Caenorhabditis elegans: one gene and its partner. The protein of the gene in region 2 interacts with the protein of the main gene of each other region in a biochemical or structural test. Each region holds a gene or a part of one and is shown on either strand. Other genes may lie near its edges. The genes, in order: ubc-1 and rfp-1.

The links.
Region 1: the proteins of rfp-1 (region 2) and ubc-1 form a complex in vitro, tested with the Caenorhabditis elegans proteins (one study listed by BioGRID).

Annotation. Positions count from the first base shown.
Region 1 is NC_003282.8:4,101,004-4,104,929, reverse strand, and holds the start of ubc-1 (Ubiquitin-conjugating enzyme E2 1), read right to left. Parts: upstream 1,911-3,926; 5' UTR 1,895-1,910; coding exon 1,844-1,894; intron 931-1,843; coding exon 541-930; intron 1-540. Other genes in the region: C35B1.2 (SWIM-type domain-containing protein), read right to left, coding at 2,035-2,109, 2,923-3,070, 3,505-3,566, 3,822-3,926. UniProt on the Caenorhabditis elegans protein: Catalyzes the covalent attachment of ubiquitin to other proteins.
Region 2 is NC_003281.10:8,356,518-8,360,443, reverse strand, and holds the start of rfp-1 (E3 ubiquitin-protein ligase bre-1), read right to left. Parts: upstream 1,823-3,926; 5' UTR 1,818-1,822; coding exon 1,692-1,817; intron 1,638-1,691; coding exon 1,470-1,637; intron 1,421-1,469; coding exon 1,281-1,420; intron 1,232-1,280; coding exon 748-1,231; intron 686-747; coding exon 560-685; intron 469-559; coding exon 1-468. Other genes in the region: Putative RNA-binding protein R05D3.8, read left to right, coding at 2,180-2,302, 2,353-2,500, 2,550-2,845, 2,899-2,988, 3,110-3,208, 3,278-3,457. UniProt on the Caenorhabditis elegans protein: E3 ubiquitin-protein ligase that mediates monoubiquitination of 'Lys-117' of histone H2B. H2B 'Lys-117' ubiquitination gives a specific tag for epigenetic transcriptional activation and is also prerequisite for histone H3 'Lys-4' and 'Lys-79' methylation.

The DNA of each region.
Region 1 (3,926 bases), on a different chromosome or scaffold from region 2:
TGAACCTAAGCCAAAAATTTCTAATTTTTAATTTTTAGCCTCAAATTTCGGTTCTTTTTTGCAAAATTCAAAAAAAAAAAAATTATTTTTGCTTGAAATGTCAGCCATTTTCAGCCAAAATTCAGCAATTTTTCGCAAAAAAAATCTCAATTTTGGCATAAAAATTCAGATTTTTCATATTTCGCAAAAAATTTCGCCTATTTTCAGCCGAATTTCAGCCAAACGTTTAATTTTTCTCAAAATTTCAGTTTTGGCATAAAAATTCCAAAATTTTTTAATTTTAACTCAATTTTCATCGATTTTCAGCTAAATTTCCACATTTAGGGTAAAATTTTACGATTTTGAACCACAAAAAGCCAAATTTTGCATACATTAGATGAAAATTTAAGAATTTTCGTATTTCAACTTAAATGTTATCGATTTTCAGCCAAATTTCAATTTTTGGGGTGAAATTTCTCGATTTCGGGTCAAAAACTGCCAAATTTTCAATATTTGAGCTCTAATTTCGCCGATTTTCATCCAAAATTCAGGGTTGTGTACCTGCTCAACAATCTGCTGAACACGTTTCTCATATTCCCGTCGATTTTCTTGATAAAGCTGTGCGGCAAGTGAGTTGGCCGGTGAATTTGGATTGGGCTCGTCGAGCAACGACTGAATCGATGTCAGAATTGCGGCAACATCATACGTCGGAGACCATCGATTCTGTAGAATATCCAGACAAATTGATCCGTCCGCATACACATTTGGATGGAACATTTTGGAAATAAATTTGACGGTTGGCGGTTTATTTGGATATTCTTCAGTAAATTCCAGTGATAATTTGAATGTTCCATCTTCAAACGGGGTTTCTTGTGGTCCAAAAATTATTGCTTCCCATGTGAGAATATTATCTTCTGTTGGTGCACCTGATACTCCTGCTGGTGGATCTTCCTGAAAGATTTGGTCGTTTTTTTGGGGATTTAGAGCGATTTTTTTTGGAAATTAAAAGAAACCTTTCTTTTGGAAAATTTTCAGTTTTTTAGGAATTTTGAGCGATTTTTTTTGGAAATTTTGAGCAATCTTTTAATGATTTTGAGCCGTTTTTTGGTAATTTTAAGTGATTTTTTTTTTGGTAATTTCGACGATTTTTTGGTAATTTTCGACGATTTTTCGGAAATTTTGGGCAATTTTTTTGTGTTTTTCGGCCGTTTTTTGGAAACTTTCGATGATTTTTTGGTAATTTTGAGCGATATTTTTGAAATTTTAGGCGATTTTTCGGAGAATTTCGACGAATTTTTGGAAAATTCGGCAATTTTTTTGGAGGCGATTTTTTGATAATTTTGGCGATTTTTTGGGAACTTTCGATGATTTTTTGGAAATTTTGAGCGATTTTTCAGTAATTTCGACGATTTTTTTTGGTAATTTTTTTTTTTTTTTTGGTAATTTTGAGCAATCTTTTGGATATTTTCGACGATTTTTCGGAAATTTTGGGCATTTTTTTTGTGCTTTTCGACCGTTTTTTGGAAACTTTCGATGATTTTTTGGTAATTTTAAGCGATATTTTTGAAATTTTAGGCGATTTTTCGGAGAATTTCGACGAATTTTTGGAAAATTCGGCAATTTTTTTGGAAAATTCTCGGCGATTTTTTTTTGGAAATTTTCGGCGATTTTTTGGACATTTTCGGCCGTTTTTATGGATATTTTCGGCGATTTTTTGGCAATTTTAATTTTAAAAATTTCACGAGAAATTTATCAAAAATCCCAAAAATATCTAATTTTTTCTGGAAAAAACCAATTTTTGTTGCAAATGTTCTCTAATGTTCAAAGAAAGCCAAATTTTCGGGCCAAAAATTTCAAAACTCACCTGAAGTTTCTTAAAATCTCTCATCAAACGTCTACGGCTGGGCGTCGTCATATTGATAACCTAACTCCTGCAAAAAATGTGAAAATTAGGTTAAAAATTCGAAAAAATGCAGAAAAATGCTAGAACAAGTATGAAAAAAGGTACGGCAACCTTTAAAAAATCAAAAAATTAAAGAAAATATTTTTTAACATTTATTGACAATAATGCAAAAGTTGAGCAATTTGTGTGAGTTGTTGAACTTCTGCCGACGATTCCAGCCAAGCTTCCTGCAAAAATCGAAAAATTAGGTAGAAAATTGGAATTTCCCAAAAAAATTCGTATTTTAGTGCAAATTTGGAATATAATTTCCGTAAAAATTGGAAACTTTCGAAAATGTTTCGTAAAAAATTCAGTTTATGTTAAATGAAAATGCTGGAAAATTGCCAAAAATGTCAAATTTTTCTTTGAAAATTTGAATTTTTTGGAATTTTTCATTGAAATTCGATTTTCTAACTGAAAATTAGAAAATTTTGGTTCAAATCGAACTTTTTTAGTGAAAAAAAAAATTTTAATGAATTTTTAATGAAATTTGATTTTTTTAGTGGAAATTTCTAAATTTTAATTTAAAAATTTCTAAAAAAAAATCAATTTTCCAAAAATTTAAAATTTTACAAAAAAACGTGAAATTCTCAGTAAAATTCAAATTTTCGGTGAATTTTTGATTTTTATCTTTTTTTTTTTTTTGGAATTTCAATTTTCTCACTGAAAATGTCAATTTTTTGGTAAATTTGAAAAATTTGAAGTTTTCGGTGAAAATTTTGAGTTTAAACTGGAATTTTAGGTTTTCCGGAAAATTCGAAATGATTAACTGAAAACTTTCAAAAAATCAAAATTTTGAGTAAAAAAGTCCAATTTTTCTGGAAAAATGCAAATTTTATAATATTTTTCAGAAAAATTCAAATTTAAAGCCGAAATTTTCCAATTTTTCAGTACAAAATATTCAACTTAGGCTCAATTTTTTTCACGATTTTAAGGTAAAAATTCTGATTTACTTAATTATCAGCTATAAAAAAATCAATTTCGACTAAAAAAATCCGTACTTTTTTACAAATTTGATCAATTCGATGTATTCTTTGTAGTAATTCCATTAATCTTTCCGAATTAATTTTCTTTTTTCTTTCCATATTTTCAACCATTTCTCGCATTTCTGGACTAATATCATCGTCGAACATCACATCTCCGGAAACTCTGAAAAATTTTGAAATTGATAGATTTCTTAGAGAGAAGTTTTTGGGAATTTTTATGGATTTTATAGAAAATTTGAGATTTTTGAAAAATCCCTAAAAATTAATTTAAATATTTCAGAAAAAAAAACTATTTTCTTAATTTTTTGGAAAACTCATTACTTCTTAAATAATTTACAGATTTTGTTTTAATTTTTGATATTTTTCTGAAACTTTTTGGCATTAAAAATTTCTTTAAAGTGATTTTTTTTTCAGATTTTTGTGTAAATTCATTTTTCAAAAATTTTAGACATTTTTTCCGGATTTTTTTCTTTTTAATTAATTTTTCTGAACTTTTCCGAAGTTTTTTTTTCGGAATTTTAATTTTCAGAATTTTAACCTCAAAAAATCCACATTTTTCCTGAAAATTCAAATTTTCAAAAAAAAAAAAAAACTAACAATTCAACTTCTTCACCAACACGTTGACCATCTGGAAGCTTCTGCCTATCCGGTTGCTCAATCTGCAAATTTTTACAGTTTTTTGATGGAAAAGCTTCGAAAATTGGCTTTTCTGAGCAGAATTTGGATAATTTTTTCGATTTTTGATGTAAAATTGAAATTTCGCGGTTTTTTTTATGGAAAAACACAAATTTTCTCAATTTGAAGACATTTTTTCATGGAAAATCTTGAAAATTGCAGAATTTGGGTCAATTTTTCAGTGTTTTTTCTACTTATCCTTCGAAATTTCGCAAATTTTCCAGATTTCCTCCACTCACAAACGTCGGATGCGGAGCATTTCTGTAGGAATACGATATTACTGCCAAATCTCGATTATGAAGTTGCTCAGCGACTTCTGGCGGGCATAGTGGCAAAATTTTGAG
Region 2 (3,926 bases):
TTCTTTCAGTGAAGTTAACTCAGACTTGAGAGTGTTGATATCTTTTTGAGATTGCTTATCCTTTTCGCGCAAACGAATTTTCTCTGATTTTAACGATCTATTCATAGATCGTAGAGTATTCAAAGTTGCTTTCATTTCATCCCACTCGCTTTGCTTCACCGTCTTATTATATTCTTCCTTAACAGTTTCGAATTCGCAGCGTAGAACTTCACTGTCATGAGATACTTTGTAGAAAGAATTGTGAATATCCGATTGACATTGAATTTCCTTCAGCGTCTTCTGATGTTCTTCAGACATTAGCATTGCACGAGCTTCCTTTGCACTGCGGAAAGCATCACGTTCTGTTGTGATATCTTCAAGATCTTTGCTGACTCGCTCGTATTCTTTAATTGCTAATGAGTAGTACTTTTTAAGATTCTTGTATTCCTCCGAGTTGACAATTGAATCCACAGAGAAGAAAGTTTGTGTCTGCAACTATTTCAGAGGTAATAGAAGAAATTCGGGTAAAAATTTCATATTTTTGTAATGGATAAAAATTAATATATAGTCAAAACGGTACCTCTAGTCTTAGCTTGCTATTTTCCTGTGTTAATGTTTGAACTTTTTTATTCATCTCCTCGAGATCTTGAAGGCGTCGTGATGCAATGGATTCCTGTTCATCTCGTTCAAGACGCAGATTTTCGATCTGAAATTATTTTTTAAAAATGCGTTATTCATTTCGATTGATAAAAAATTTTTAAATCTCACTTCTTTTGCAGCTGTTTCACTTGGTGGAATATCTGGAGCTGATATCTTCTTCTCAGTAGCATTTGTTGTACCCGACGAAGACGGTGTCGCCCCTCCGTTCCCTCCAGACTGTCCCTCCGAGACGAGGGTGGCTAGTTTGTACTCAAATTTGTTAGCAAGACGCATATGTTTGTCAGTTTCAAATCGGGCATCTTCCAATTGATGTTCTAATTCTTGAACTCTGTTCTCTTGTACAGAAAGCTTATCCGTTAGAATACGCTTTTTCCGTTCCAAATTGTAACAATCGCTTTGAACTTTGGTAACTTCGGATTGAAGCTTTTCATTTTGTATAGCTAAACTTGCTGCTTTGGCTGTAAGCTCCTTATGGACACCATTTGGATTGAAGGTAGGAGAATCGATCAATGTTTTTAGTTTATCGATGAAAATGGTGGATTCGTGAGCCCGATCGTGGCGCGCTTTAGCATACGATACGAATGCATTCCGTCTATAGAAATATGTAAATTAAGAGTGAATTTTAATAATTTAAAACTCACAAATTCTGCTTTGCCTGATCAAAGAACTTGTTATATGTTTCATTAGTCATTCCAAGAACGTCTATACCAGTTGGTGCAGTGTCTCCTCCGATGTATTCTCCAAACTCATTCTTAGTTTGTGTACATATGTATTTCTCAATCTGAAAAAGAAAATAACTAATTGCAATCTGAAAATAAGTAAAAACGTACATCTGAGAACATATTATAAACCTTCAGAAAGTTGCTTTCGTCTGTCTGCTGCCGCCTCTTGGACCGTTCATTTTCTTTTTCCAATTCGGCTATTCGCTTATTTTTGTACAACAATTGCTGCTTTAATTTAGATGTCTGATAAACTACGGCACGAGCTCTTATATCGTTCTGAAATCGTTAGGGATTATTAATAGTATCCTCGATTTTAAATGAAAGACATACCACGTTGCTAACAGCGGGCATTCGGACCGGTTCGAATTGAATTTTGCGTCGTTTTTGTTGTCCATCGTCACTCGGGCTACTTGCATAATTTTCTCCTCCTATACCTTCATTACTTCTTTTCATCATACCTGAAATCAATACGTTTCTAATATTGTATACAAAATGTTAAAGAGATGGTAGAAAGCAGGGAAAACAAGGAAAAGATTTTAAACATATTAACGGATACTTAATCAATGTTTTTGAACAGATTTGATGACAATTTTATTGTTTTTGGAGTGCAAAAAAGGTGATTACAAAAAGATTTCCAAAGAGACATTTCAAATGGCACTCTTTTCGTTGCGAGACCTGAGTGAGAGAGTGTGTGACTACGGTCAAGAGACGGAAATGGGGTAGATTTACGACCGAACAGCATTTACGAGACTTGCGGGACTTTCGAATTCTTAATTCGTTTTTTTCTCCTCAAATTTCGGTCTTTCGTCCAAATAACAATGGTAAAAAGGATTTTTGTGCAAGGATTGGATAGCTATACAACGGAATCGACAGTTAAAAAATATTTTGAACAATTTGGAACTTTATACGAGTGCATTCTACCTCCTCCTCCTAGATATTCGGTACAGAAACTCTTGTTCTGATAGAAAATGTCATTATTTTCATTTTATAGGTATTCGACAATGGACCAGACGAGGAGAAAATTTCAACACGATCATCGATTCGATATGAGCCTGTGGAAAATGATGATGTATTAGATGACGAGCTCGATGTCGAACGATACGATGTTGAAAAACACGGCGATTTTGAGAGTTACATGAGTACGTAAGTTCGAAAGCTTTTGAAAAAAGTAAAAATGCCGAGTTCCAGAAAAAATTGGAGAAGGTGAAGCATTTATCAAAGAGCCGAGAAAGACTAGCGCAGGCTACGCCTACATCACTTTCGTTGATTCGAACGGATATTCAAATTGCATGAAATCAGATATTCATGAAATCGATCGAGCCAAATGCACTGTTGAGCCAGCAAAAGATGAAAATGATAAGAAGTTGAAAGTAGAATCAAAACGACTTTTTGTTTCTTATTTTCCACTAGACAGATTAACTTCAAAAGAACTGAAAATGAATTTTGGAGCCTACGGAAAAATCACAGATGTAGAATTTGTCAGTGTAAGTTTTTAATTATTTGTATGTTTATTTCATGTTAATTTTTATTGTTGCAGGATTCAGAAGGGCCGCTTCACTTCTGCATTATAACTTTCGCAGACTCCAGATCTGTTGATGTTCTTCTAACCAAGTCAATATACATCAGGGTGAGAATATAGAATGCTTTCAAAAAAAGATGCGACTAATTCTTCAACAAACAATATCAGGCGTAGTCATCAGGACTTGATTGCAACCTCGTATTATAACGCGTTATGAAACATTTTTCAGGATGTTCTGATGTTCACCCGACGTGCTGTATTGAAGGAGTCCGTTAAAATAGCGGAACATAAGATAAAAGAGCAGGAACAACAAAACCTCGTGCAACTAGTAAGTTTTATAAAGTTTAAATAAATTATCTTGTAAAACGTGTTTTAAAATATTGCATTACATTTTCAGCCTCCAAATCACACTGCTTATCTAACGCCGTCACGTCCCGTAACTTCTGTACATGCCTCATCATCTGCTTCATCAAATCACTATGATCCATCTGCAGCAGCAGGATATGCACCACTATATCATCAACCACCAGAATCAGATCCATTGTCTCAATGTGGCTATGGACCGAGAAAATGGTAGCTGTGATGATCAAACAAAACTCATATATCTCAAATTACGGTTTCACTTAATTCGAAGTTTACGAACATTGATTTTAAAAAATAAAATTGATTTATCTTCGAAGTTTCATTCTCTCGTAACTTCCTTTATTCTCTACTAGTGAGCGCAGTGAGCGAATGTTCTGTGAGTGTTTGAAGAGGCCGTCCGTTGTCCCTCTGACCGAGAATAAAACATTATACAAAATGAAGAGAACACAGGGAACCACGGATGTATCTCTGTGTCTCTTCACGATGCCAATACATTCCTTGTATCCCTTCGAATTTCTTTCTCCAACTCTTTCTACCACCCAATACTAAAGTCTTCCCTCGTCTCTTTTCCCGCCAAACGAATGAATGTTGTGAGTGTGTCTCTCCTCTCGTTTCACTCTTTTTCAATGAAGCTTTTGCACCGACCATCCTCTAGGTCCCACCACGAAAATCTACTGAACACA